3 linked regions of the Bombyx mori genome follow. The protein of the gene in region 1 purifies or fractionates together with the protein of each later gene. This does not show direct contact. Links are inferred from orthologs where the notes say so. Each region holds a gene or a part of one and is shown in the gene's direction. Other genes may lie near its edges. The genes, in order: kinesin-like protein KIF23, Ywhae and ADP-ribosylation factor 6.

What was found.
Region 2: the proteins of kinesin-like protein KIF23 (region 1) and Ywhae purify together in Homo sapiens (affinity purification with mass spectrometry; 4 studies listed by BioGRID and IntAct, with this or other methods). This does not show direct contact. The link is inferred for Bombyx mori from reciprocal best matches to the Homo sapiens genes KIF23 and YWHAE.
Region 3: the proteins of kinesin-like protein KIF23 (region 1) and ADP-ribosylation factor 6 purify together in Homo sapiens (affinity purification with western blotting; 3 studies listed by BioGRID and IntAct, with this or other methods). This does not show direct contact. The link is inferred for Bombyx mori from reciprocal best matches to the Homo sapiens genes KIF23 and ARF6.

Annotation. Positions count from the first base shown.
Region 1 is NC_085129.1:18,296,153-18,306,870, reverse strand, and holds kinesin-like protein KIF23, read left to right. Parts: upstream 1-5,268; 5' UTR 5,269-5,541; coding exon 5,542-8,148; 3' UTR 8,149-9,429; downstream 9,430-10,718. Other genes in the region: serine/threonine-protein kinase BRSK2, read right to left, coding at 1-104, 1,109-1,173, 2,063-2,197, 3,254-3,352, 3,684-3,800.
Region 2 is NC_085122.1:14,128,512-14,139,481, forward strand, and holds the start of Ywhae (14-3-3 epsilon protein), read left to right. Parts: upstream 1-4,123; 5' UTR 4,124-4,234; coding exon 4,235-4,298; intron 4,299-7,591; coding exon 7,592-7,755; intron 7,756-10,970. UniProt on the Homo sapiens protein: Adapter protein implicated in the regulation of a large spectrum of both general and specialized signaling pathways. Binds to a large number of partners, usually by recognition of a phosphoserine or phosphothreonine motif.
Region 3 is NC_085111.1:14,749,616-14,760,377, reverse strand, and holds the start of ADP-ribosylation factor 6, read left to right. Parts: upstream 1-5,293; 5' UTR 5,294-5,451; intron 5,452-8,253; exon of another isoform or gene 8,254-8,580; intron 8,581-9,816; exon of another isoform or gene 9,817-9,889; intron 9,890-10,762. Other genes in the region: leucine-rich PPR motif-containing protein, mitochondrial, read right to left, coding at 741-947, 1,435-1,666, 2,636-2,745, 3,235-3,391, 3,632-3,970, 4,049-4,164. UniProt on the Homo sapiens protein: GTP-binding protein involved in protein trafficking that regulates endocytic recycling and cytoskeleton remodeling. GTP-bound form plays an important role in the transport of multiple palmitoylated proteins form the Golgi to the plasma membrane.

The DNA of each region.
Region 1 (10,718 bases):
CGGGGGGCGCGGCGGGGGGCGGAGGCCGAGCCTCGTCCTCGCGCGCCGGACGCCTGCGCTTCCGCTCCAGCAGCAAAAAGTATATCACCTTCTCCGTGTTGTGACTGAACGAACGAAAAGAGATTGGAGTGAATTGCATTTCAGCTAATAAGCCGAAGAATTACTAATGGCTTTTGAGTGTTGTCTCCTTCTAGTTCGAGTCTTGAATATCTGCGATAGTTGTGGACGCAGTGTCCACTGCACACGGCCTCATTAAGAGCCTTCTCATCATAAGAGCATTTGCGTTGTACCCATGAGTTCCAGTCAACATGAAGGTTTTAAAGAAATACTTCTTACGAGGGGGGATATTACTTTATTTAGTTAAAAACTATGACTATGTGGCGGTAACCTTTATAGAACATATAAGACATTTGAGAGACGCTTGAGCCTTGCTGACGGAATTTTCAATACGGATTCGGAGCGTCGGTCGTTGGTGGATGATCTTCCCTTCAAACCCTAAAACTGGTGGCCTGAGAAGTAACAGCCGTTACCTGGTCTGTTTCGGCTTACAATCGACCCAATCAGAGACTTAATTATCTTGCTGGAAAGCATTAAATTTCGGATCGCGTCTATGGTTAGTCTATGGTCTTATGGGCTACGTCCACATAAACACTTACACACAACTAGTACGCATTTACATACACCACATTACATTTTATTCCGACACAAATTTCAGCCATGTCGATGCGCACCAGTCGACTACATTGGACACACGCACCCAAAACCGGTTGGCTGTGACGTCGGGCCGATACGTCGTCGTCCGCGCACAGCACCGCGCTGACTTCAGTCAGAGCTTACCCGCATCGACTAACGCCCGCTTACGTTTCGCTCCGATAAAATTGTGTGTATACCGCCTACGAGACATTTGCAAGACAAGTCTTCGGATATACAAGTTCCGATTATCAACATTTTGACCGTCGGTCTACCGAGCAAATATCAACGGCTCGGTGGAAGATCATCCCCTCGTTGTTAAACATCTCCAAAGTCTACTTAGAGATTGACTCTAAAGACCCAATGTCGGTTAAAGTTCAGAAAAAAAAGATTGTCTAAAAAATGTGGGATAACTCACTGCGGACTTAACAGTTCTTGCACCAGCTTCTCTCTTTGCTTGAAACAACCTAAGCTGCACATTGCCTGTGGACAATAAATCGAATTGTATTGATGTATATTCAAAATTATTCGATCATCAAATAACTGAAGCAAAAACCTTGTATCCCTTTTTACGAAAATTGCGCGGATGGAGGAGTATGAAATTTTCCACACTTATAGAGAATATAGAGAAGAAGTGCACAATGCTAATATTTTTCTAAAATAATGCATAAAAGATACATTAAATTAATAAAGAAAACATTACACACACTACCATGTATTTGACACAACACATATACATATATAAATTTAATCTTTGTTTATTGTCAATTGTCAAACTTTTGTTAATGTTTTAAGTATGTGGTCAAATTGAGAATAGATGAATATTGTTTGTCTTTATTATTATTTATGTATAGTATAGTTTTGGCGAAATCGGTGATTATATAATATTATATAAGTTTAATGTTTAGTATTTGACAATAGAACCATAAAAATATTTAAACATAAAATTTAAATTGATTAAAGTCGAATTTCGACTACTGCGGAACCACTAGTTTACATTTACTACTAGTTTATAGCGTAGCGAAGCTTGGTGTTTATTGATGATTTTAATGCTCATATCGAGGGCCGAAAAGCGATTTGGTTTTTTTTATTGCTTAGATGGGTGGACGAGCTCACAGCGCACCTGGTGTTAAGTGGTTGCTGGAGCCCATATACATCTACAACGTGCGCCACCCACCTTGAGATGTAAGTTCTAATATCTCAGTATAGTTACAACGGTTGCCCCTCCCTTCAAACCGAAACGCATTACTGCTTCACGGTAGAAATGGGCGATGTGGTAGTACCTACCCATGCGTACTCACAAGAGGTCCTACCATCAGTTCTGTGCTGATTAATAAAGTCATATCTAAGTAATGCGGATGAACTATGTTACCTGTAAAACATCAGGATCAACAGCATCAGCTGAAGGCAGTACTCTAGTTTGAACAACTTCCATCATTGGCAACTCTTGTTCGAGTTCTCCTCGTCCGCCGGCAGTTACCCATGGATGTCTCGTTATCTCTGCCAACTGGAAATGTTGTGAAGACAATTTCAGTCCTATCATCCACCCATATCATAATGTATGTCTTCAGGTTTAACGAGTTTACAGCTTAATGTTGTACGGCTACCAGTAATGATCGATATCATAATGTGAATGCCAGTGTCAATGTTTTAGTACAGTAAGAGCTCCTTATTCACGCTTCCTTCATTCAGGGTTTTCACTATTCGCGGATTCCTGTGTTCGCGGCTAAAGATTTCTGCATTCGCGAATCAAATCAGTACATTGGTACATGCGTATTGGTAATAATGATTCCAATATGTAGGTATCCAACGTGCTTTTCCATATTCACGGTTTCAGTATTCGCAGCATATTTACAGAATATATAACCATTTTTTTATTATTTTTTTATTTACCCTGCGAATAAAGAGCTTTTACTGTACTTTATTTAGTGAATTATGAACTTGTTGTGAATTGTTGTGTTGTTATGAATTATGAACTTCACATGTTTGGTCACCACTGTGTCGGTTCATTGTCTTTTTTATACAACACACACTGTACCGGCTTGTGGTACATAAGGGAGTTTCTTGTGATAATAAAACTCCAGCACTTGATATTATTCTGATATATTTTAATGGAGATGTACAGCATGCTTGAAGAGCGGGTAGTGAATGAACGAATGATAGTGAAATACATTAACTTATTAAGCTGTGATACTTAGCGGCCTAGAAGGCTAGCATCTTTGACATTGCTCTAAAATAATTGAAGGCACTGGCCTGAACACACACTTAGCACTATTTTTTATTAAAAGGAGAACATGTATTCTCTACTAATGCACTACACAAAGTTAATACATAGGGTTGAAGATTGAATTACTTTGGTATGACAGCCACTAAGTTGAATATGTCAATGATATCCTCATAACAACATAGCCATATATAATATTTTTATATAAATCAACTGGTGGTTAGCATAATATTAATAACGTTAATGAATAGCACCTTGGTCATCTGTGACCATGTAACACTAAACTATTTAGATAGTTCTCAATTGTAAAATGAGATAAAGCATAAAAAAACAACTTACAGTCATTCTCTTCTCCGGATTCACTTCTATCATTCCACGCAGTAGTTGTTGGCAGTCAGGTGGTACAAAGTGCGGCACGTGAAACACTCCTCGTTTCACCTTGAATCAAATAAGGATGTATATTAAATTATACCATAGATTTTCATACATAACTATTTATTTGTTAGTTAAGAAAATTATTCTTTTTTTTCATATAAAATTTCAATTCCAATGCTTCGGGTCAGTTGATTAAATTTAAACTTGTTATTCTATTGATTTTGTACTAATGATGTTAACTTTGTTATATTTTGCATTTCCTTGGAAAATTATTTTCACCTTTACCTAACATGCTATAACAGATCTGCAATTCTTTAACTGGATTCGTGTTACCGGTGTAAGTACTCTTTAATTACGTGGAATCGTTCGCCGATTCATACCGAGAACCCTTTACCTTTTCAAGTAATTGACGTAAATTATCATCGTCAAAAGGCAGCGCACCGACGAGAAGTGCGTACAAGATGACACCGCACGACCAGACGTCCGCCCTCCGACCATCGTATTTCTCACCCTGAAATGAATTTCATCCATTTCGTGAGCAACAGTTTTCATTTCTAAACGATGCATTGTTTGTTTACATACATTTTCATAATTTGTTTTGTTTACGAACTTTGACAGCGGAAACGTTCCATTCTCTGTTATAATAAACTTCAAACTGGGCAGTTTTTTATTAATTAATTTGGAATTGATTTAGAAGTACACTTAAAGAAAGTTTTTTTAAGTTCCAACATATTGTTAAAAAAATAATGATGTAAGTGTTGTAGGCAATAATTCTATAATAGCAATGCTTATGAACGGATTGATTTAATATTACGTAGAACGAAAATATTTTTATTCCTATAATTATGTTGGCAGAACTGCCAATCATGGTGACCACTCAAGAATAATATGAAAAGTCCCTGAAATTTGGGAATTCTCAAAATAAAGTAAAAAAAAAACTGCAAAACAGAATAAGGGTGAGTGTTCCGTTAAATGTGGGAAAGTAGTGAAGCAATACAACTGCAGATAGATAGAGTAGCAATACGGTTATTAAAAATAATGTGTTAGCGGCAAACACACAGGCGTGTATATACTTAGCTTTTAATATTGACATAGTGTAAAGGATAAAGTACTCAATGTATTCACATCGAGCTATCTTACTATGTCAGTGTACAAATCTTAGAGACGGGTACCGATTTTTTAAGCGAAATACGTACTCAGCTCATGCCTACGAATGGATTTCACGTTGAAGGAAAACATTATGCAATAAAAATTAAGCCTGCAACAGTAATAATTTACAGAATTTCTGGTATTAGGATCTCTCGTAACCCAGAGTGGTTACACCCAACAACCAGCATATTTCTGACACGTAGAAGTAATGCGTTTCGGTTTTATTGGTTAGCTGCTTTATATCGCAATCGAGACCTAGATCGAACATTTCAAGGTCAGTGGCCATATTTACATTTTGATATTTATGGTTTCCCTCCAGTAAATCTTTACTAGCTGGGCTCTAAGCTCATTCAATCGTCTATGCAAAATAAAACGACGTTTTAGTTCAAATAAATCTAGCAGACCAGGCCTAGTGAAACTGGTTCACATGTTCACATCCTTAGAGAAAAATTCAACTGCAGACTTTTTGTTCGAGTTTGAATATGTAAGTAATGGCAGACAACACTTGTCACATGTGAAGTAACAGTTTTCGAATGTTGGAATGCTTATTTAAATATTTAAAACAGATGATTGTCTTCTCTTCAGTCATGACGAAGACTTATGTCTAGACACGGACAGTGCAACATCTTAGGGCTTTATAAAAATAAAATACATATTGCAATGGGGTAATACTGTACAAAATGTTTGTAATATATTTAACCATGAAGCAGTGTTTTTAAATAGCCCCTCACCTACAAAACCCAAACCCCTCAAATTTAACCGTCCAACACTTTTCCATTTATCTAAGTTGCTTCAGGAAAAATCAATCTATTAGCTGGTATCATTAGTAACAAAAATGTCAAAACTTTAAAAAGAAACGGGTAGATATAATCCGACCGAACTCAAATGGTATTTCCGCTAAACGACCTTGGTATCCTTTCGTATAATTTTTACTGCCATTATTAAAAAGTGACAGCAAATAAGTTGATTTTAAATTAGTCAGTTAATATTGATATTTCATGAACGGCCGTTCAGAGACCGTTGCTTTGATTTATTGAAAGTCGTTGAAGCGATATTCAACCGAAATATTTAAATATTATATGTGACGATAAAATATAACAAAAATGAAGTCCGTTAAATCGAAACAGAGATTAAACGAGATGCGAACGCCGGCGCGTAGTAAACAAAATCTCGCTCAGGACCGCGATCCTGTACAAGTCTACTGTAGACTTCGCCCCATGCAAAGAGAAAGTGATGTGTCGTGTATGAAGATTATATCACCAACCACATTACTCCTAACGCCGCCAGCAACGGCGTTAAGCTACAGAAATGAAGGCAGCAAAACCATGAAATACACATTCAAAGAGATTTTCCCGCCGGAAGCGTCACAGCAAGAAGTTTTCGATAAAGTCTCACTGCCGTTAGTCGAAGGCTTGATTAAAGGTAAAAACGGCTTGTTATTCACCTACGGGGTCACGGGCAGCGGGAAAACGTTCACGATGACCGGCGAGCCCCAGAACTGCGGGATATTACCACGATGTTTGAATATTATTTTCAAAACTATTAACGATTTCCAAGCTCACAAATATGTGTTCAAACCGGACAAAATGAACATGTTCGATATTCAAAACGAAGCGGAGGCCATGCTAGAGAGGCAACAGGAACTTCACAAATTTAAAACTGGGAAGAAAAATAATTCGAATCCGGATTTAGCTATGGCATCCACGGATATAACTAAAGTAGAAGGTATCAATGAAGACAATCAGTACGCTGTGTTCGTTACATATGTAGAAATCTACAATAACAGTGTTTTTGACTTGTTAGAAGATGGTCCTCCGATTAGTAGGAACCTTCCAGTGAAGATAATAAGAGAAGATGCAGCCCATAATATGTATGTCCACGGGGTTACTGAAATCGAGATTAAGTCAGCTGAGGATGCCTTTGATGCTTTCTATTTAGGTTTGAAACGGAAACGAATGGCTCACACGACTCTGAACGCAGAATCAAGCCGAAGTCACTCAGTGTTCACAATACGATTAGTGCAGGCACCAGTTGACGAGATGGGAGAAGCTGTGATACAAAATAAAAAGTTCTTGAATATTAGTCAACTGAGTCTTGTTGATTTAGCTGGTAGCGAAAGAACTAACCGAACCAAAAACACAGGACAAAGACTAAGAGAAGCCGGGAATATTAATAAGTCATTGATGACTCTTAGAACCTGCTTAGAAGCGTTGAGAGAAAATCAAATTAACAGTGCTAATAACATGGTGCCCTATAGAGAGTCTAAAATTACTCATCTCTTCAAAAATTTCTTTGAAGGTGAAGGACAAGTAAGGATGATAGTCTGTGCAAATCCAAGAGCTGAAGATTATGATGAAACCCTCCAAGTGATGAGATTTGCTGAGATGGCAGCAGAAGTTGAAGTTGCTAAACCCCAAGTAATAGATGTCGCAACAACAATAGGTTTGATGTCTGGCCGCAGAAAGGCTAATAGACTCTTCACAACAGCTCGTGACAATATGGCGAGACCGGAGGCTAAAGATTTGGACTTAGATCTAGGTTTGGTATACAGCCTCGGGCCAGACTTCCCAAGCTTGGAACTGAATAGCTCTCAAGCTGCCCATATAATTAAGGAACTGATGGCACATTTAGAAATGAGAATCAGTCGCAGAGAAACACTTAAGAGAAGTAAGGCGGTGAAGGATGAAAGACTGAGGTCAGCCCTGTTGGATCTTGAAAAAGAATCATTAGAAGTGAGAAGTGAAAACTCATCATTGAGGGGACAGCTGGCAGCCTCTGAACGCAGGATTCGAGCTTTAGAAGAACGCTTGACAGCCACAGAAAATGCATCTCTCACGCACCAAAGAAAATTGGCAGAAATGACTGAATACACATCATCTTTAAAGAGAGATCTACAGGAAAAAGAATATTTGCTCAACCAGAATAAGTTTGAGAAAGAAAAGCAGAAAAAGATCCTTGAAAGAAAATACAACCACAAGATTGCCGCCGAACAGGAGAAGGCAAAAGAGATAAACACAGAAAAGGAAAGATTAAGAAATGCAGTTGAGGAAAAAGAAAACTGTTTACGTAAAGTCAAAGAAGCGTTAAATGTTGATATGGCAGACAGAGGAGACAACTTTGATTATCCACGCTCCACAACTGAAATTGGTGCTCAGACCAGTCATTTTACACCGGGCTCCACACCGAGAGCTCTACCCGCACACCTCTTGACCCCATTCAGTTCAGCTCCACAATCACGCGACACACCAACATCAAGAAGAGGGGTCGCTGTAGCGAATCCACGCCATAGACGGTCATTGTCAGCTGATGGTCGAGGCTGGGTGGAACACGCACCTAACAAGCTAGTCCCAATGGGCACAGTCATGAAGCCAAGCATGACGAATAGCAAAATCGTTAATAAACTGACAACGGTCAAAGACATTGCCAATTCGAAAACGTCAAAATACTGTCTTATATCGCAAGAGCAAGATACTGATGGTGAATTGGAGACGAAACTGTACAAAGGTGATGTTGTACCCACCTGCGGGGGAGGAGCTCAAGTTATATTCAATGATGTTGAAATGCTAAAACAGTTTTCTCCGACAAGGGAATCGCAGAGATTGTCCAGCAATAGCTGTGCTAGACATTCCGGCAAGAGGAGAGACACCGCTTCTTCACCACCACAAACACCATCAAACACCAGTAAGAAGCAGAGAGTTGATGACGAATGATCTTGGACGTGATCAGGTAAAGTGAAATAAGTGGAAGAATATAAATATGTTTTTGTGGTGCATAGAACTTGTTCGATTTCTTAATATAATTATTAAATTGAGGTTTGGTAGGAATTTTCATTCAAAATCATTGAATATGTAAAAAAGTTAAACTACCTACATTCCTGATTATTATCATGATTGTAATTCTAGTAGAATCTAGAACTTGTGACTTTCAAATTATCTTTTTTATGCTTTCTATTTTCAACTGACTTAAAAGTGGCCAGTGACAGATTCAGTGAATTTTTTTCTTTTCCAAGACATTCTCAATGTTATTTTTGAACATATATACTTAAAATACATTCTGTGATTGTATATTTGCTCATAAAATGTACCATTATATTGTAATACTTACTAACATAATTATTTGATAGCTTATGACATTCCTTGATGTTAGGGTTTTAGTAACATTAAAGCTGTTTACCGTCGTGTTGGCACTGATGGTAGGTCTTTCACTTAATCCCAGGATTCTGAACCAAGACAGATCGAGATGTCACTAAGACATATTTTGCCAATAAAACTTTGAATATTATTACAAAATCATTAACCTTACTTAAAACTTTATTTGCTATACAAATGGTAAACACTGAAATATAAATAATTATGAAATTTCGAAAAGGGCACATATCTGAAAATGTAAAATGTTCAGGAAATGAAAAAAAAATTATTATTTTCTAAAGCAGTGTAAAATTTAAAGTATTAACTTTTGAGATATATTTTAGTGTTAATTAGCAATTGAAAATTACTGGAATTATTATAAAATGGGTGTAGGTAAGCCTCAAAACTACATGTTTATGAAAAAACGTATTTCACAAAATATGGGACATGTGCCCTTTTCGAAATTGCATATTGAAATACAATGTTACGGTTAATTAATATTTCATAAGTCGGTATAATTCGAAGGTAGTTGTCCCACGCCCGTCCCCTCGAGGTCATTAACCTGGCCCGTCAGCTGATGCTTTTGACACGAAGGCAATCCGAAAAATCAAATTTCGTTATAAAATAGACCTTTCTGGTTTGGGTTTGGGTTTTTGTGGGCGTTTTTCATACTGTCTTGGTGACCTGTTTTTTTGTATTACCAGGATGTTCGTAACTTTAGGACCGGTTCGCCCAATGTATTAAATGGCGTACATTCATCTCGTTATGTTAATAGCAACAGTACTTAAACTACTCATATACTTAGATCTGCTAGTTAATATCAATTTATATATTAAAATAGAAATAAATGCGTTTGTTTTTGTATATTTGCCTTTTATTGCATAACAGGGAAGTGTGTTCTTTTAAAATGTACTATATATTTTTTTGTCACTAGTTTTGTAAAATTAATTTGCATAAAATTTCTGATCAAAATTAATCTGCATAAAATTTCGGGGCAACGCAAAGCCGCCGTCGTCCGAAATATGTCTTGTCGGATCCCCCGGATTCACTGTCGGTGCTTTTAGGACCCTCAAGCACTGGTCACCGTCCTCGTCGATCACGACGAAGACTTCGATGAGCGAACTAACCCATAGACACAGTCCACTGAGTTTCTCGCCGGATCTTCTCAGTGGGTCGCGATTCCGATCCGGTGGTAGATTCTGCGAAGCACTGCTCTTGCTAGGGCCAGTGTTAGCAACACTCCCGGATTAAGTTTAATTGACTCGTCGAGCCCTTCGTCGCAAGACGGGTTCCGCGAGGACGGTGATCGGTGCTTGAGGTAGGTACCTAAAAGCACTGGTAATGGATCGGGAAGATCCGTAATGACGTGTTTTGGGCGACGTCAACTGTTTACCATTCGGTGTACAGGATCGGGTATGTAATTTCCGGCGGCCACGACAAGAGGGTTTTCGTGCCGTGCCGCCTACTCAAAGTATTATTTCATTAAGACACGACTGTGAACATTAATATTTCCAAAACAGTATAAGTACATACGATTGTAGATAAATAAAGAACCTTAGCGCCAAATATCTGCAGTTTTTTAGTTTACTCGTTATTGAATTTAGCAAGGGCTCTGTATTTATATTAATTTTAAGGTTTTCGGGGGTTTTTTGTTATACGTCCCGGTCACCGTTCTCGTCGAACCCGTCGCTTGCGACGAAGGGCTCGACGAGTAAATTAACTACCAGACACAGCCCACTGAGTTTCTCGCCGGATCTTCTCAGTGGGTCGCGTTTCCGATCCGGTGGTAGATTCTGCGAAGCACGGCTCTTGCTAGGGTTCGTGTTAGCAACGACGTCAGGTTTGAGCCCCGTGAGCTCACCTACAAAAGTTAGGGTTACGCTGACATAGCCTCTCAAGGCTCTCAGCTTAGGTAGGAAAAGAAAGTTATACGTGTAATAAATGTTCCAACATTATTGAAGTGGATTTTTTTTATGTTAACATTGTCTGTGGCTCTTTGCCTCCGTTATCTTTCAATAGTGGAACAACTGCATAATTGACTTGGTCTGATTATATTATTATATATTTTTCCATTAAGATGAAGATTCTCCATAACCAATTGACAAGTCTCAGTCTCCGAAAACCGAACAAAATGATGATAGATTTCGTCTTTT
Region 2 (10,970 bases), on another chromosome or scaffold:
AATAGAGTAATAAAAAAGGACGAAAAAACTGTCAGCACTACAAAATCACAAAAAGTATATTATTTAAAGCTGATAAGAAAATGCAATCGATGTCTCCACGTTTTATCACAGCAATAATTTTTAGGTTTTATTGACGAAATTAATTTGGATTATGTAAACCTGTAAGGTATTGTATATTACACTGTCATTAATTACTCTAGTAATTCAATCACTTAACAACTGCTCAATTCATATCATTCCCCTGTGCTTATGCTAGCGCCATTCTGGAGGATTTTTGAGCTGTTATTTAGTGCTGAAAGTGGGACACTTTTTCAAGCTTCTCCCATACATAATATTATTTTATGAGACTGTTTCCCGGCTCAGTGAATTTGGACCCCTTTTTATTTTCGGATTTTTTTATTTTTAATTATTTGTCCGTCGTTTGTTCGTTAATGTTCGAGTATAAAAATTGTTTGATCGTCTTTTATTCATTTATAATTAATTAAACAAATGATCACCCTTAAGTGGGCTCCCTTTACTAGATATCTTTATTTTTATTGCTTAGATTAATTCATTTTGATCAATTATCGTTTGTTCAACATTTATTGGTGATTGTTAGATCATAAAAACAATTAAATTCCCAATTATCAATTATTTTATATCTAATAAGCAAGCCATCACCTCACGCCTACATTGCGCATGCGCCGGTTTTGTCAGTCAGCTGGCAATTTACTAGCGTTTTTTTAACAAGTGCGTTTATACTGTCTAATTATTCCTTATGTAGATCTAAAAAATAAATTGAAAACTTCAACAAACTTCAACAAAAAAGTGCCAGTGAAGACGACCAATTAGTCGTTAAAGTACGATTAGCGCGATTTTAATAAATTCAGTTATTTTCAATGGTATTGAATATGAACAAGCACATAGAAATCTCAGTGATTTCAATCGAACATTAACGAACAAACGACGAACAAATAATTAAAAATAAAAAAATCTGAAAATCAAAAAAAGGGGGCTAAATTCATTGAGCCGTTCTATAATGTACCTATTTCACTCAATACTACTCTGAGGGTTTTTCTTTGATCTACGCTTGAGGACTTTTTGGCGGGAACGCGAGGAGTGAAGTTGTGTGATTTGTTTTATTTTGTCTATTTCGTGTTTCTTCGGGTTTAAATGTGTAATAATGGTGGTTTATTAACTGTTTAATATCTGTAATAGTGCACAAATGTGGGAAAATGAAATAAAGCCGCTGGACGTAACTTCTCGGGATCCTCCAAAAAGTCCACTGAAAAAATCTTAGTAAATGACCACCATTTTACTGAGATTGTACTTCATCCCGTATCATCTCATTTAATTTCATCCCAGTTGATTGATGTCTCAAATTAATCATCTTCATTTCATTTCACTCCATAATATCATTTTTCATAAGAATATGAATATAAATTAAGGTAAGACATGACTTAAAGGTCTCAGATACCAGGTCATAAAATCCCTTAAAAAAATCTACGCTTGACATTTGACATTTTGATAGAGTGAGATCACGGAAAACGGAAATTTAAGTATTACCGGCCTATAAAAAGATTAATTTTCTAATTTGGTAATTTAAAAGCTGAGTCTAACAACACGTTAATTAGAGAAAAAAGTTGACCTTATTTAATAGAAGGAACATAAATTACAGGTGGCAACGGACCAGTTGCAATGGAGATCAATTGGAAAGGCCTATGTTTAGCAGTGGACAGCGGCTGAGATGATGAAAAAAAAAGTGTGTGTGTCCGCTCCGACGCACGACTGGAGTTTACTGGATATAAAAAATTAAACGAAACAATACGAGAAATAGTTCTATATTACGACAACACGATACACTACAGATTATTAACAAATTAACGAGACACAAAACAAACGACTAACAAATATATGAAAATACAATAATGAGAGAAACGCGCGATCAGTACGAGGCTTTGTGGCGGACTGCCGGCGCAGCAGCCCGGCGTCACCTGCGATAACGCATTTCGTGTGACATGCGCAATCAGGCGCATAACGCATTTCGTGTGACATGCTAGTACGATTTTGGTCCCCATAATTTTCATACCCCGGGCCTATATATGTAAATCGATTCTAAAGGAGTAAACTCCAAAAATTTTTTTATTTCAAGAGTTATGTATAGCTAGTTCAGTCAATTTTTTTTCGGTAGGCAGCGGTTTGGCGTTGCTGAAGTCCCTGGGCGACAGTAACCACTCATCATAAGGTGGGCCATATGCTCGTCTGCATAATTTTTTTTTTGGAGTTTACTCCTTTAGAATCGATTTACATATATAGGCCCGGGGTATGAAAATTATGGGGACCAAAATCGTACTAGCATGTCACACGAAATGCGTTATGCGCCTGATTGGCTCCTGATTGCGTGATGCGTGCGCGCGCCAATCAGGAGCCAACGCGCGGCCGCGTTATCGCAGGTGACGCCGGGCTGCTGCGCCGGCAGTCCGCCACAAAGCCTCGTATAATAGCCGGCAAACTTCTTGAGCATTTGTTGACGTAGTGGGGGTAAGTTTGCGCATGGTACACTCACGTGCAAAAACATTATTTACTCTGCGTCATAATGCAATTAAATTATTAAAATCAACATATGTATTTATTTATATATTTATTAGAACATCAACAAAAAATATAGGTTAATAATTGTAATAATTTAATCTTGGGGTAAAATAGATATTCCTTCTACTAAGTCAAAACTAGAGCTGTTGCCAGGTCTTCGTTCAGTTGAAGCGAAGCTGGTATTTGTAATTTTTTTTTCGTTATCATAATCTTGACCATTATCATCATCACTGTTTTCATCACTGGAGTCGCCATCATCGTGATAAGTGGACATAGGGCTCATCGGTGTAGTTTACGACTCGGTCGGTTCGATCTTCTTTTTTGTCTATAATTTATTATTTTTTGAAGATATTCGATTCGTAGTAATCGAATGTTACTTTTTTCAATTACCAGCTTCCGATTATTTTCTGTTTTTTTTTTCCATCTGAAGCCTAGCTCTTTCATAATTCGTCGTAAACTTCATTCCGAGCTATTAAAATGTATATCTTCTTTAAAATTTTCGAAGCCTTTCTACGGTACGGAGTTTCGCTGCTTGTTATGTAGTTATTATGATTACATCTTTTTATTACAGATTGAACGAAACTATCCATTCCGGTAACTTTCTTCTTCCCTGATCTTTTCTTACCCGGAGTCCCAAGCACGACGAGCAAGCCAGAGCCTTTAGCTTTCTTTGTTAATAATGCACCTAACAGTACTCACTGATGTTTTTGTTGCTTCCGAAGTCTGTTTTACTTTTTCATAATATCATTCTTCCCCTGTTTTATAATGAAGCAATATACGTCGTACACAATTTTTCTGCCCTTTCTTTTGAATACTACACAAGTTTGTCGCGGCATAGTGTATTTTTTATAAAAAATCAACAAATACTCAACAAATAGCAATGGCAACAAAGTCAACAAGCAATTATAACAAAATTTATTAACGATTAATAACGATAGACTTTTCACTGTACGCAAGCGTACTTTTGGGAGCAAGCGGAACGAAGGCGCGGTGCGGGACGCAAGGTTCGACTGATCTACCAATAACGCGCTCGATACGATTTCCCCTGCCGTCGCGCCTCACCCTCACCACCAAAGTGATCTAAAATTCGGTTCTGCGCAGTCAAGGTCATTTGCTCACGATGTTTGCCGGTTACTATACTGATCGCGCGTTTCTCTCATTATTGTATTTTCATATATTTGTTAGTCGTTTGTTTTGTGTCTCGTTAATTTGTTAATAATCTGTAGTGTATCGTGTTGTCGTAATATAGAACTATTTCTCGTATTGTTTCGTTTAATTTTTTATATCCAGTAAACTCCAGTCGTGCGTCGGAGCGGACACACACACTTTTTTTTTTTAAATTACAGTTTTTATTTGTTTTTTTGCCTGAACTTTCATGAATCTAAGCTTATTAGAATAACTTTATTTTATATTGGTCAAAGTAGAATAGTAGTAATAAAAATGTAATTTAACCTTCCTTAATTTTTTCATTTCAGTTAAATCAGTAGTTAAATTACTTTTTATCTGGCAGCAAATGTAGAACGGAAGCTGCCTAGTCTATGACGTCATGGGCGGAGTTTAGTTGAAGATCGAATTTGGATTCGGTTGGCGGGCGCGGCCATCTTGGTGAATAAGTGACCTGGCGATTCGGATTTAGTTAGTGTAAAATCATTTGTCATCCACAATGTCGGAAAGGGAAGATAATGTGTATAAAGCAAAGTTAGCTGAGCAGGCTGAGCGCTATGACGGTAAGCATATATTTTTACTGTAATGCTATCATTCAGTCGAAGATTCTATCTTATTTTCGCCGACAATTGAAAAACGATTTTAAGATTCTTTAGAGAATATCCTATGTCCAAGACGTAATTATCATTTCATTTATTTCAATTTTCTATTGCAAATAGCCTTGTAGGTCGCAGTTTGTATATTTGATAATAGAAAAACGAGTCAATGGTATTCATTAGGCTTGGCCTGCGATCGATGCGTCATCCACCGGTGGGATGTCTTAGGTTTTTTACATGAACAAAAACGCTGAATCCATTCTCAACCTGAAATAGAACCTTCATGGTTCAGTTACGATAGTTTTTTCAGTTGTAGAATCGCAACTTTATGACTGAAAGTTTCCAATAAAAGTGATTTTCAAGAATTTGTAGTACCGTTGACCGGGTGTCAGAGGATCTGGATCGATGCGCCACTGGTTTTCTTGTATGTCTGCTATTGTGATCCAGACACATTAGAAACATCTTAGTTATGACGTAGTTTTATGGCGCCTTAGATTTCACCTATTGTTCACAATTTGATGCCACGGGAACTGTCTCCTTAGGGTTTTACAACGATTTCGTCTAACTATATCGCTTTCTGTTAAAGTATTATCATAGTTTTCTGTCATCTTCCTCATGAAAAACTCGGGAGTAATAATTGAAAGTCTGTGAAGGTCCACGGTTCAATGACCTTAGTTACCATTATCATTGAAGAATATCATTGTCAATCTTATCAATGCACAACATGGATGAAATATGAATGACTTGTTACACAACTGTTACACTTCATTTTATTGAGTGCATAAAGATTTTTCATCTTCATCTATCTTTCATCTGCAAAAAACATGGGTGGTATTAGATATGACATTCAATTCTAATTTTTAAAAAAGAAGCCCTAGGCCATCCTTATCCATTTCATCATGGGTTCTAAGTATTGAATATTGCTCTACATACATAGTGTGACATAGAGAAAATTGTAACAGGTTGGTCTGCAATCAGTACATTATTGATTATTTTTATGAACCACTAAAAGTATTGTCAGTGGGACTAAAGTTGACCACACCCTTTTATGGCTTGACCTTCAGCCAATATTTTGCAAGTGTCTTTATTTCATATGAAATTTATTGTAATTTAATTTTAAATATAATTGTGCTAATTTGCAAGTGAATGTCAAACTTAAATGGATTTATAAATTAGAAAGTCTCATTATGTTAGTCACACATATTAAAAGTATGACTTCATTGGAACTTGCCGCATGATGCTATGACTAATATTAATAAAATAAACTTTCAAAAAATTTGAAATATCTATGTTGAAAATAATTTTTGTAGTGTACACTGAATGAGGTTGTAAATTAGAGGATGTTGTATCAGTTCGTACTCATCACATGTGACTGCTGACTGTAATCATTGGCTAATATTTAATAGTGCTACATTGGAAGCAGTGTCTAAAAATTGTAGATTGTAGTTAAAACAAGCCTCACCACGATTGGTCCTGCACTATCTGCATCATTTTGGTGAGGCTTGGGGGAGGTCTATGTCCAGCAGTTGGTGTCTGTGGGCTGAAAGATAGAAGATAGACGTGGTTAAACCAATAGTATAATTCTCATATTTATTTTTAATTCAACTTTTATTTATTTATTACTTAGATGGGTGTACAAGCTCACAGCCCACCTGGTGTTAAGTGTTTACTAAAGCCCATAGACATCTACAACGTAAATACCGCCACTCACCTTGAAATATGAGTTCTAAGGTATAGTAGGTAGTAAGGTATAGTTACAACGGCTGCCCCACCCTTCAAACCGAAACGCATGACTGCTTCACGGCATAAATATAGGCAGGGTGGTGGTACCTACCCGTGTAAACTCACAAGAAGTCCTACCACCAGTAAAACATTACAACATTATTTTTAATTAGGAGTTTTTAAAATAATAAATTCTAATAAACTACATGGCTATATACGTTGGTAGAAAGTAGTGCAAGAAAACAATGTGTGTAGTTGTGTTATAAATCAAGTTTTTTCTTGAACACGACAGGATAGGATGGCCTTCTATTTTGAGGTGATTTTTCAGTAGTTTAGTATGTAACTTTCATGTCCTACTGCACTTTTTAGATTTTTTGGGTCGTACATAATTATTGACTCATGCAACAAACACTTGAAGAACACATCACACACATGCTCTGGTTAATAATTGTGTTAACCAACAAACATGCAGAGGAACCAACTATTTCTGGGAGATTAAAATTGCATTGCAACAAATGCAATGCAGATGAACTTTTTTAACATATAACTTTCTGCATGGGTAACAATAAGATAAATAAATTGGAATTTTAAGAAAGTGTTATCCCCTTACACTGTCTTTTCAAATTACCATTACATCACATTCATTAACTTGACTGACAAATTCAATTCAAACCTCTTTAGAAATATTATATTTGTATTAAACAGTGCTTACTGAGCAAATGAGTTGATTTGTCTAATTTATTTCCCATCTTTATGATTGTTCTTAAGTATCCTATATAATTGTAAACAAAACAATGATATGTTTATTTTCCTTAATAATCTAAACACCTTAAAATGTAGAATAGACTCAGTTCCAACTGCATTAGAAGAATTAATGTAATTAAAATGAATATTATACATTCAGAGACATTTAGCATACTTTGATGATGCTTTAGGGAGGAAAAAATCTTATGTTGATTGGTCTGATGGCTCAGACCAAGATGCCTATAGGCTATGTAACGAACACAAAAGAGCTGCCACCTGATGATAAAGGGTTACTGTTGCCAAGGTCCCCATCGGAAGGGTCATAGCTCTTAGCGGCAAAGCCCTTTTGTCCCTTATCAATCCAACTTGTATACCCGCCACAGTATGGACATTGTTTTGAGATGATGAGTTGAAGTTTGAGGAAAATACTAGATTATCAAAAGTCGAAATGTTGAGCAAATATCTGCCCAATCTCCTAAATAACAATAATAAAAAGAAAAATAAATATCTATAAATATGGCGAGCTCACAGCCCACCTGGTGCTAAGTGGTTACTGAAGTCCATAGACATCTACGACGTAAATGCGCCACCCACCTTGAGATGTAAGTTCTAAGGTCTCAAGTATAGTTACAACGGCTGCCCCACCCTTCAAACCGAAATGCATTACTGCTTCACGGCAGAAATAGACAGGGTGATGGTACCTACCCGTGCGGACTCACAAGAGGTCCTATCATCAGTAAAGTACCAGATATGGTAGAAATGTACTAAAACGAATAATATATCCTATTTTTCAGAAATGGTGGAGGCGATGAAGAATGTAGCATCACGCAACGTGTCCGACAATGAGCTGACAGTGGAGGAGAGGAACCTGCTGTCGGTCGCCTACAAGAACGTGATCGGCGCCCGCCGCGCCTCCTGGCGGATCATCTCCTCCATCGAACAGAAGGAAGAAACAAAAGTGAGTCTCGTGTAACACTTACTTGTCTGCTGATGTAACTTGTCATAATCAGAGCTTAGCCCGGATAAATAAATTGGATGATTGTGTTTTAGTATCACCCAAGCATTGAGAGTTTAGAAGAAAAACCTCATATTTTGGTATCCAGACTTGTTTTGTTAATCTAATGCATCTAGAGGGCCTCATAACTTTTATCATGAGATTGATTCATGATAAAAGTTTACATATGTTCTGCGTGTATGTTTTTAGTGTTTCATGATACAGAGAACTCCTGAATTTTACCTGTCTTAGCTATAGATTCATTATAAATTGAGAGAAATCTGAGTACAGCAATGTTGATCATTTAGTGGTAGCCCCTTAACCAAATGTCATTGTTGAACATGTTTACATTATATAATTGAATGTTGGAAAATGAGAGATCGCTTCCCCAATACATATGTAGTATCAAACTACTTTTTGATTGATTCAACTGTTTATGTTTGGAGAAAACGGTGCGCGTGCAACTTGGTGCACGTGAAAGAAGTGAGACTTCTTTTGCGGTGTTTAGTATTTCGGTTTTCTTCATTTTTCATCGTTAAATGAAATTTCTCTTGTAATAGGTAATGCTGTGTATATCTTTTCACCATTTATATATATTATATATAGAAAAATATTACTATTTTTTCAAATCCTTCTTTAAAAATAAGATAGTATTTACAAGAGCAGTGAGAAACTAATAACAAGCCATCTAGTGGCGGACGCCCGTAAACAAAATGTGTATAAGGGAAACGAGCCGACTCGTTCCCTTCCTCTCCACGGTCGAGCTGTTCGCGAGACGCTGTCTTGTTTCTCACTCTCGCTCTTCCTAAATTATATGTTTTCTCTCTAGTCGCAACGAATCTGTCGCGAGTTTAATTTTATTCTCAACGCGCCTAAAGAAGTTTCACTTAAAAAACATTTTTAAGTAAAATGACTAATAATGGGAAATGATAAAATTAATAGCTTATCTCAGCAGCTAATTTGCTTTACTCTGTATTCATTGATCTGTGTGTTATTGTAGCTAGCAATGAGTTGATCATGCTTTCTTCTTTAATACTAGGCAAAAGTACAGAATTTGTTATTTAAACGCTGCTCCATTGCTGCGAGAAAGTAACACACTAAAAAACACGTCGCATTTAAATGTAGTGAAGAAATAAAATAAGTGTTGTTTTTTTCCGATTTGTAATGTACCTTTCGACAAACATTTTTTTTAGAATTAATACTTTTGTTAAATTAGCCTTTTCACAATTTGCGGTGAATCAATTTAAACCTGACATCGCCAGCCGACGTCTGTACCGCGTCTGTACGCGCCGCTTCAGTTATTGATCCGCAGCGCCGTCGGGGCTCCTGGTTGTTTCCAAGCTAATCGAGAGTTAGCCAACTAAATGTTAACTTCATAAACGCAATTTGAATCTTATCGACAAGTGTAATGCAAGTCGCTGGCTTGTTTTTTTGTGAATTTCTATTACATATTTAAATATATCCGACCGTCTGACCTTATAAAATTATCGAACCCGCACCGAGCTCAGGCACTCTTATTATCTAACGACAGCGAGCTTTGTAATTTGTTCTTAACGACGAAAAGATTAGTTAAATCATTAATTTATTTCTTTAACAAAATTCCGCAGTTAACATAACTTCAAAAATGTTACAAATTACTTCGATATTCTAAAAAATAAGCTTATTTATGGAATTAAGGAATAGGAATTAGTACGTACCCAAAAACTGACAACAAATAATTGTAGGAATAATTACATTAAGCATCTAAATCACACGCAAAGCATTCCCCGGTGATCGATATCAGTCGCTCGGCTTACTTTGTGTCCATGAATAGTCGCAACTAAAGTTACAATTGCATTGCCAGGACACACGAATAGTGAATCATTTTGTCTGATTCATGCGTGAATCTAGAGTTTGGGCTGAATCGTAATCCAAAAATATTACTCTTTATGGTTTTGTTCTATTTAACTTACGTCATATTCCAAGTTAGACAATATAATATTGAGGTAAAAGTTCCATGGAAGTATTAATAAAGGTGCCGTTCGAATTCCTGTGGCGACATGACAACATAAGAATAAATGCGCATCTTGAAGCGAATAAGCAAAATTATCTCATTACATTAGAATTAATAAAAAAACCCATAAATATTATTGTGATCATTGTTAAGAAATCGCCACGTTCAAATCGACAGAAACCGTTAGAAACATAACATTTTTTATCACTAACTGCGACAGACAAAAAACTGGAATTGGAGAGTTTGTAACTCGGCGTGTAATGAGGAAAGTGAGTCATAGTCAGTTGTTTCATCAGCGGTACGCCCAGTACTCATAGGAGTCGCACGGACTGAATCATCTAATTCCAAATGTTAAAATACCCTTACACACTTAATATTATCATTAAGTAATAATTGTTGAAAAATGTGGTCATATAAGCGTTTATAAATTTTATGACGATGTCAGAATAGGGAAACTGAAATGTGGGTTAGACTTAAATAGGTATCTTTTTTAAAGTAAATTCAATAGCCGGCTTAAAAAACTTACAATGGACCTTTCAACCTTTCAACTTTCAACAGCGTTGTTGACGAATCGCCTAAAAAAGTGTCAAGGACGCACTTTGTCTGACTACTTAGTTTTATGTACAGCCGCTCTATTTCTTATTTTATTAAAAAAATATGTCTTTAAGTACATATAAATATATACATACTATAATAGCTAAATTTTTGGAGCCCTGTTGACAGTTTCCATCGAAATAGTTTTGATCGTAGAGAGATTTCTGTAAACTTTTGTGATGATAATTTAAAAACATCGTCAAATATAAAACCGCAGTCTATCAAAGTGTACGTACGATGACAGTACCTGTCACGCAAAGGATTTTCATAATTTAATATCTTTATTAAGTAAAATTGACTGAACTTTGTTTTGATAAATCTCGCATCGAAATCTAGAAGAAATAAATTTAATGACGACAAAAAGATCATCGGGCTAGATAGATATTTGCGTATCGATCGACTGCGGCACATTGAGGAATATGAATTGCAAATGTTCAATTGAGACTGACTCATCTACAAGGCATCATCGGTTAGAATCTTTACGATCCTTACTGACTTACTGCTAGGAATGAGGATAAAATAATTTACGTTCATATATACTTATATCTCTTGATTACTGTATAAAAATCAATTTCAGTCTTTGAATTCCTAA
Region 3 (10,762 bases), on another chromosome or scaffold:
TGTTAATGAAGAGGTTAAGTACCATTATTAAGATTTTTGAGTATTTACATTGAATGAAGGTGTTATGCCTATAAACCATATTAGACCTTAAAACTTCGAGTTTAAAAGCTATTTTTAGAAATTGCATGTGATGAAGGAGTTAAGTACAAAGAAAAAGTACAAGTAACAAAACTTTGTTGACCGTTTTTTCAAAATTAACAAATTGTATCATATCTCCTTCATCCAGTCATGTATTCAATTGTCTAATTCTAAGCCATTCATCTGAGTGTGATGAATGTTTATGACATAATACCATCAACGTACGATAGAGAGAGAGAGAATCTACTTTATTGCACACCAAAGATAGATTAGTAATTCATGAAATCGATGTTTTTAATACAATTAACGATAGTCAAACAGAAGCGTTAATACATTTCGCTGCTATTACATTTATACTTATTGCAACACTGAAGGGATCAAAGGACCCATGCTGACCTTCGATGATTTCATAATATTAACACACTGGCAACAGAAATCTGACGAATAATACGATAAATATTACTATCGTTATTTTCAACATTAGAGGCACAAGATGCCCGTTTTAAATGGTGATAAGTACTTATGCATTAAATATGTATTTATGCAAATGTTTTAAAAAATTATTTAAACAAAAAATAAAATTATGAGATACTACATACACTTACAGCATTGTACTTTTAATGTCTTAAATATTAAGTAATTCATTCAATACTGTTACACACCATTGCAGCTTTAACACAATCCCTGACCAGACTCCGACCGTGCAGTCCTTGGTCATCTTTAGGACCAAACGAAGGTAATGGAAGACACTTATATATCTCCAGGGCTGCCATAGGATGATTTTGAAAGACTAGTAATGTACATACACTCTGCATGTACGGTGATATTGATGGTGTCTGTAATGTCCCTTCTGGAAGATATTTGAGGACCTACAAGGAAAATTTTATTTTACGGAGGAAAGCCTAAATATGTAGATCACAGCCCACCTAGAGTTAAATGGCTACTGCAGCCGATCAACATCACCACCTTGATACTATTCCATTGTCTCACCCTTCAAAACATCTTGCATTCCAAATGAGTGCTTTACAGCAGAAATATGCAGGCCAAAACTACTTATTTGACCATACTAATAATATGCCCATTAGAAAACACGAAGTTACAACAAAAATAATAAAGTTTACTATATGTGAAACATTGTGATATGTGAAACAGCCATTGCCTATTACTGAGCTAATAGGCAATGGTGTTCATTTCAAGTTATTTCAGACAGTATAGTCATTGTTCATTTGTGTGTTTATTAGATAAAATATTTTGAAGATACATTAAGATTTATGATGTAATTAACACTGAATATCTAAGGACATCTGTTATAAGACATTTTGTAAACTGACATTACTGGAAACAAAAATATTATACCTGAGGTATTGTTTTATAGCTTCCAACAACAGCTAGGGTCTTCACAATCTCCATAATATGCCTTTCCTCAAACTGAAACCCATTTTTTATTGTCTGATCCATTTCCTTCAGGAGCGGACCATCCTCTTTATTCCAGGCTAATGCACGAGCAACAGCAGTGTATGTTTCGATTGATTGTTTCAGTTTAACGGATTTCATCATTGTCAATACTTCTTGAATGTTTTGAAGATTACTGTAAATTATATTTCTTTATTATGGGAAAATAAAAATGTATTATATTTTTATTCAAAGTGCTTAACTGTAGAAGCTGTTAATATTACACAATATAATTTAGATTTAAACCTTATGTCTCAAGTTAAGTTCCAGGACACTAGTTGTGATTTCTATGAGCTCTACCAATTCTTAAAATTAGATAGGCTCCACGCTTGTCTGCCTATCTAGACCAGTAAAACAATTTTCATAATAGGCTAGTCACAATATATACATTTAAATAATGTTTAATATACATTTAAAACAATAGTTTCAATTTAAGTAGAAAAGACAAAACAGTTTAATTAAGTAAAGAAGAAGTCTTCTTTGTCAATCAATTTATTTTTAAAAAAATATTATTTGGTTTTTTCACTTTTAAACAATGCAAAAAAGAAAATTTGAAAGTAAAATGACACATAATAAATATAAATCTTGATCATTTTTACCACTGGACAAAAACACTAGTAATAATAATTTGATACCCGGGCCCTGAATTCATTAGATAAAGCTTTCAATTTAATTGTACAAACAAAGCTTGAAAGATTATCACCTCAGTGAACTAAAAATACATCACAGGGAGACCAAGACAGACTCTGTATTCTTGTTAAGCAGTATGTTCACATTTAATTGTAATAGTTATATTTTTTTTATTGTATGTTATGTTACTGTTATTCAAACATAATATATGTACTATGTTCTATTATTTTATTATGAACTTTTATTATGAACTAATACATGATGGGTAACATATCATTTCACTTTTTGTCTGTCTTTATACAATCCGCACTTAGCAATATTTTTATTAAAAGGACAAGTACCCTCTCTAATACGCTACAGTTTGTTTTATCATGCTAGAAGCTGCAAAAAAATTTTCAATTTCAACATCGGTACATTAGAACCAAGTGTGCCACTAGCCTACAGACAAAATCAGTATACTTCAAACCAAACTTACCCTGCTTTTCCTTGGCCTATAATCAGTGAATTGAATATATTCTCGGTAGCAGGCAAGTTCTGTGCTTTCATATTAGACAATACTTCGGTTGCTTGATTTAGATCACCCGCCTGGAATTATTTAATTTATTTATAAAACAAATTCAGCATTTATGTATCATATTATTAAGGCACCAAGAAATAAGTAATCAACGATAAATACATCACACAAAATTGTCTAGGTTGAAACTAGGATTCCCTGCATTAAGAGAGCCAGAATCCCCTATACATAGTTATGTGCATTTAAAAATATAGATATGCTAGTAAATCTGCTCACACAAAGTTAGATCAACAGTACAAGAACACATAAATATTGATCTTTATCAAAATACATATACTAATTGTAGCATAAATGGTTTGCTTTCAATACAGCACTATCTAACCCAACCCAGACACTGACTGAACTATCATGTCAATGAACTAACTTATACTGCTTTCTGTTAGAAACATAAAGCTCACAAATAATAATAATAATAATAATAAATTTATAATAAAATAATAAAAATCCCTGCTAATCGATCCAAAGAGAATTTATGACTTTTATCAAATTAAAATTATTACCTCCCCTAGGGCTCTTATGATCAACTCATAAGTAGTGATGTTAGGTTTTACAGGCAGCATTTTGTTGATAAATGTAGTCACTACGATTGTTCTATTATTTGCTATATAAGCTTGCAACAACTCATTGTAATGATCCACTTGAAATTTCGTATGGGGCCTGTGTAGTTCCAATAAGAAAAAATAATTAAATTCAGGTTTTATATGGCAATAATCAGAAAATTTCATTTGAAGAAGAGGTCAATAATTTGCCTCTATACAATAACAGCATTCTATAAAAATCATTCTATTTACTACTACAAATTAATCAATTTGAGAATTATTATTTTAAAATGAGTCAATTGTTTTAAAACATTGTTTGAATTTTAATGTTAACATACAGGTAATATCATAGGCTCACTTTAAAGTATTCCAAACTAATTCAACTAAAGCCATTCGAGCTGAAGGAGTTTCGTCAGGTAGTAATTCCGTGCAGCACCTAAGCAGTAGCAAACCCTGTTTTTTGGTTGAAAAATTCATTTCTTTTACTCTGTTTATAACTCTCATTAAATCATTCTTGTATACTCTATTTTTCTGATGTATATCCGTGGATAATCCAGCTATTAATTTCTCTAAAAGTTCTTCAGATGACATTCTATCAGTATTCTTCAGAAATTCAGTAGAGACTGTTTGTGAAATATTTCCGCGACCGCTTGATAGGTTCACAGAACATTTATTGATTGCTGCATTTGAGATGCGCCTATAAAGATTAAGCAATTAGTTCTCGTTGCGTAGTTTACTTGGTTTTAATTTGTAATTTTAGAAATTAAATTCTAACCTTTGTGCATGGGATCGACACGGACATCCAATATTTGCCCGATTCGTTTGAATATTTTTAAAGAACTTAGCTCTATTGGAGTTCATAATCCTAATTCCTTGACGAGTCCACATCATATTATTCTTGTTCTAAGTACTGCAACTGAATTTTATCCCAGAATTTACAAATTTACAAAATTTAGAAAACTTATGGTACCTGCACTGGTAGAATTTTTATTCAACGATTGAAAATTTAGTTGTATAAAATGTCACAATAAATCAAATGTCAAATTTTTGTAGTATTTCTAATTTTCTAAATGAAAAGGCAAAGATATCACACCATACTGCCGGATAACTCACCTACAAGCTCGGCGAATTTAGAATAACCTCTCGAGGTTACTAGAATAGGTAAAAATTTTTTTGATTAATTCATGAAATAATTAAAAGAAGTGAGATGAGATGATATGTATGGGATGAAATATAATCTCAGTAAAATGGTGGTTATTTACTGAGACTTTTTCAGTGGACTTTTTGAAGGATCCCGAAAAGCTATGAATAGTGGCTTTGTTTCATTTTCCCACAATTTTGCACTTTCACAGAATATAGCATAAACGCAGTCTGGATGAAAACAAAAAGAAGTGAAAATAAATTGAATAGAATGAGAAGATATTTGTTTATATTGTCTAAAGAGATTGTCTCTCTTTATTTCCCCCCTATATTTAATAAATTATTTTTTTTAGGATACTGTAAAAACTGTAAACTCACTCACTAATTCTGTTTAAGACGAAATTACATTTTGGGGTCGACGTGGGTTCCAAAATGTTCATATAACTATCCGATGCTCCCACAGTTTAAATGAGAGTATAAATAATTTCGTCTTAACCTCAATTTCAAAAAAAAATTCATCGAATGCATTTCATTTTTCCACAATTATTGTTCTTTTTCGTAAGAACTAAATGGTTAGATAAGAAGTCTCTTTCTGTCTTTGTTTTTTTTTGTCAAGAATCTTTTTGCCAACACGAATTCGCTCAGATATACATAGTTTGTACATAATTTTCCTATTACTCTCTACTATGTCTTCTCTTTTGTGTGTACATAAATAAATAAATAAAGTAAATAAAAATAGTTGAAAAATAACAAAAGTAATCGCAAATTAATTTAGATTATGGTATGTAGTGGAGTTTTAATTAATGGTTACAAGACATGTATACTTTATTTTGCCCCGGTGCTCTTTCAATTGATACCAAAATCTATTTTGAGGGTAGCCCTTCTCAAACTCAATCTAGCAACTCTGAAGAAATGTCAACGTTCAGCATTGTCAAATTTCAATTCTAGTGTACGAATCGTGGATGTGGTTTGTGCTGTGTTTTTTGTTTTGACTGTTTTGAGTGGATGTTAGACATTGTAATTTGCGATTGTCATGTGGTAAGTTTGTCTCCTATTTGTACAACTTTAAAATAAATACATATTTTTCGTAAGAGATATGCGTGTTTGGTTAGTATTTGCACAATTGTCATCAAGTTGCCGTTATTTGACGGGTAGCGCCATCGCCCAAGCTTGGCAAGTCGGCGATCGGCTCCACCTCAACGAAACGTGACGATTAGAAGTCGATTCTAATTTTTAATTTAATTATTACATGTTACATACGCTCAAATACAATGATCCAGTTTGTGATCACCTGATGACCTAACCCTTAAAGAATTTAGCCCTGCGGTAACCAGTTTACAAAGTAAAGTTGTACTTTACGTTGTCGACTTCCCGCCTATGAATCACACCGTTGGTGTAATTGAAAAATTTGAATGAGCTTAAAATATAAAAAAAATTATTACATAGGTACCCTAAATTTCTAGGTACCTAATATAAAATATCAATATGATTACCCCCGAATTAACGGACTACCTACATTGTTGAATATAAAATCACTGATTAAATATAGGTGGTCAAAGTTGTAGAAAATGAATAAGAGTCCTATGTACATACAAATACTTATGTTACTCAAGAAACCTATTTACTACTAGCGACCCGCCCTCGCTTCGCTTCGGAAACATTAAATTTTATTATTGATAGCTGAGTCCCGCGATGTTACCCGCGGTTATTGTCGTACCGCGGGTGACGCCGCGGGTCAAAGCTAGTCTAAAAAAAGTAGCCTAAGTTACTCCTTATATCATCAGCTACCTGTCAGTGAAAGTCCCGTCAAAATCAATCCAGCCGTTCCAGAGATTAGCCAGAACAAACCAACAGACAGACAGACAAAAATTGTAACAAATGCTATTTTGGTATATGTACCGTATATATATATTCATATGCATGTAGTAAAAAGCGGTTATTTCAATATTACAAACAGACACTCCAATTGATTAATTACATAAAATCTGTCTGTTGAAAGATCAAGCACTTTGTAAGCAACATGAAATTATAAACTTAAATGAAAGTTTGCCTCCCAAAATTTATTCAAAAAGTATATTTATTTCATAGTTCCTGAATTCTAATCTTACTCAAACAGTTACAATAAATTTAAGTCTTCAATTAATATAGACTTTCTATATCATGATTGTTTATTTATTGTTAACACAATAATATAGAATATAGTATTTTTTAGGTTCTCATTAAAATAGTTACGTAATCATTAAAAGAAAATGTTGAACTTTATCATGTTCTTTGTGATTTCACAGGTTATGCCCTTCATTATATATATTGTAAAATTTAATTAAAACAACCCTTTAAATATATATAAAATAAAATGTTATGAAAGTTTGCTATTAAAACACCATTAAAGCCAAAACAAGAAAACATTTTACATTTCATGCTCACATTTATTGAGTTCAATTCTTCAATATCAATAGTTGAGGTCAATGAAGTGTGAATTGACACCAATTAGAGAGCCAAGTTCACATTACTATTGAATAGAAGACATCAGAATTTTCTGAAGCTTTAATTTTTGTATTTTATTTTATGTTTGCGGGTTACAGATTATGAAACAACAATAATATTACACCTATTAGTATGTTAATACAGGATAAATTTAAATACTAACTTTAAAAAAAACAAGAATACTACAGTTGTGCACATTATAATATAATTTAATCTGTTGATTTATATAAAACTGCAATCTTAATAATAAGTAATGTATGTATTATTTTCTCCTATTTGACACTGTAACTTGGATGCTACATTTCCGTTCATTATGTTTTAGCTGTGCTTTGATGTTTTAATTGAGCGAGCACTTTTGCACTTACTGAAATTAAATAAAGAACGGTTAGCAGACATTCACTCAATCTGTGTGAATTAGTTATGGCTACACCGTCAATGTTTATCCCTCTAAATGAAAGTTCTAGCACTAAACAAGTAATAAATAAGCTTGAGATAAGGAAGTTATTCTGACAAGGAAACAAAAGACAAAATACTCATTTGTTTCACACTAATTCATATTATAGGCTAAAATAGATATTATTCAATTATCTTTGATCTTATTTTTATGGTTGGATGTCAGTATTTGAAATGTTTTAGTGCAACAAACGCTGCTAAGTGTTCATAATAGTAAAAAGTATATTATGTACTCAAGTATTTCATCATACATTTCCCATACATCATATAATTAAAAAAAAGCTAGGATGGGTTTGAAATCTTTTTGGATCATATTTTTATTTAAATCAATATTATGTTCGAAAACTACTGCATTCTGTCTATGAATGTATTATAATAAGTACGTGCGAGCACGCAGAAAACATTGTTTGTCATGCGCGACGGTATGAACGCGACGGCGTATGGCAACCGATTTGCTAATTTTACAAGTTACAAGTTAAAAGATTTATTAAAATTAATTTTGCCTCAGTTCTGATGACTGTCAACAAAGAACGAACTTGTTTATAGTTTTGAGGTTATAATGTACATTTTTCGCGGTTATTACTCAAGGTTAAACGAGTTTCGTTTACATTTGTCATTTCACTGTAAATAATGCAAGGGATTTCAAAAGTTTGGCTAATGGAAACACGTGCTTATATAATGTAAAAACTTTCTATCATTTACCAAATTAAATAGTATCATCCAAATAATATGGATGATCTTTAATATGTATTCGAAAAAAAAAAGGTATTTTCACAAATCATTGAAAAATGTTGATGAAGTTTTATTTTCATTACCCATACCTGCATTCAATACGTATTAAACTTACAAATCGTATACAAATCGATGACGTGTTTTTTTTGTTTAATTCATCGCTTATAACTTGGTCAGTTCGGTTGCGGTGGGCGTACGTCACGGGCGGAAACCTCGCGTGCTCTCGCGCAATCTGACTACATTCACATTTCAACGTGCGATTTGGTTAGGGGACCACCGAAACATTTTTTTACGAAGACCATGTACAGCTCTGTACGTTTATAGTGCAAAGTGGGCTCACAAAAAAAAAAAAAGAATAAAATTATACGTAATTGTGATAGTGTAACAAAAATTTCCAGTTCCGTAAAGCAAGGCCCATGTGAATCAATGAAAATATGTCATTAAACAGTGAGGTGTTCTCAAAGTGGGTGGTAGGTACACCCATTGTTAATTCACGATGTAAGTTCATTCGCAATACAGGAAGCTGTTTATTCTAAGAACACACCTTATTTTATTGAAGTTGAAAACGACACTGAGGATAACATGCCGCCGGGCTGCTCATTATTTTCATAATACTTATATACAAAGAATAAATAAATGCTTGCCTTGAAGGATCTTTTTTATGATGGAGCTTATTATATTCTTCTCGTAAAAGGAAATGATTTTATTTCGTTAAGATTTAATAATACGTTTTCGAGTGAAATTTCTTTGAAGATCTAAAATACATTCGCTGGTATAGAATTTACGTTATTATCGTGTAATTGTATATTCAAAAGGTCGAGTTGTTCGATAAATAACCGTAGGTACTGAAGCAAAAAGGTTAAAGTTGAATTTTTACTACATTTCATTGTATTGTTATAGTTAGATTATTCGCAATTAGATTGTTGCGAAAACAACCGGTATAGTAATTCTAAAAACTTTTTTTCAAATTTTCGTTCGACAATCGATTTTTTTTCCTAAAGAAGCTAATTTGTTAAATATCAGTGTGCCAAACGTCATATGTATGAAACCATAATATTAATCAAATGGCTTGATAATCAAAGTGTCCGTGAATTTCTTTGAAAAATATCGAAAGGTAACGTAATAGGCGCCAAGAGTCATTGACACAATAGATCGTGACTCGAACCAGTATATTCAGAATATTCGTTACCTTATTTCCATAAAAACAAATTGACTGCGGGTAATATTTAATACCAATTGTACCAGAATATACAGTTTAACATTTCTGTAACTAACTTAGGTAAGATCTAAATCTTATTAGGATTAGTAGAAGTAGGCTTATTACGATTTTGCAAACAATAAATAACAAATAAAATATCAAAATAGTAGGTAAAAATACATTTGCATTGACCCTACTGTATTTTGAATAGCTTACAAAAACCATGATCTCACCTTAGGCGCTTTGAGTTCGTAATAAGTTCTCGGAGATTAACTCTCGTTTAAATGACTACCGGTCTTAATAGACGTCATAATGACAAACATCTTCAAGATACTGGTTACTACGCAATTTTATAATTACGTTAACTTATTTTATTATATTTTCACGTTAATCCTTCACTGTGAAAGTCGTGTGCCTAAAAGCATTAGCGCGTTTTACATGCCAGCGATTCTAACGCTGCCGTTTCACTAGATACATAGTAGCATTGATCATAGTAGATACATTGTGGGGCTTACTCTTAGACGCGTGATATTTAAGCCCGGCTAGCTCAGTCGGTAGAGCATGAGACTCTTAATCTCAGGGTCGTGGGTTCGAGCCCCACGTTGGGCGCATCCTTTTTCCCGTCTGCCTACAAAGGCAATAAAAAAAAAAAAAAAAAAAAAGAAATTGGGTACCACTAGTTAGGCACCAGTTTTTTTTTTAAATCTATATTTCAACTTTATTTAAAAAAAGAAAAATCCCTACGCCCAAAAAGAAGCGATCCCGCTGAATATATGCATTGAAATCTAGATTGAATTACAGAAAAAATATGTCAAATTAATGTTTAAATGCGTTATTTTCCGTTCTTCTTCTCCATCGCTCCCTCATTGCTGAGGATCGTGACTCCGTTTTAGCTTGTCTACTGTCAGCCTCCATCGGTTCCGGTCAGTTGCCTGGTGTAGTGCAGCGCTAAGTGGTCCGCTGGTTTGCTCGGAGATCTGGTCGGAACAACGTTTGGGGCTCCGGCCTCTAGGACGTTTTCCTTCTACTTTCCCAGTGACCATCAGACGTATTTTTCGTTACTTTGTTAGATTTTAGTAAATCTATCGTTGATTGTGAAAATTTGCTCTTACTTTTTCGGTTTCTATTTTAGTTTTAGGATGTTGAACACGTCGCATAGATTAGATTACGCGTAACCTCGGCAGTCATTTAGTTTTTGTTATCAAGGCCTCATGTGGCCTTTATTGCCTGTTTTTACTAATTACATAGTTATTCAGACGCGTCTATGTACTAGAAACTTCTTTTGCAGAAACTGCATAATATACTCGTAATTGACGGAAGATCCGTGATCCTGTGCGTGCTATATATTAATATTATAACGCATACGTGTAAATCAATCGATCGAAAATGTTAGACATTTTGATGGTTTCGTAATCACTAGGCAAATCCTTTAAATTATTTAATAAAATTTTAAAGGTATTCTGAGGTGATCCACGACAGTGT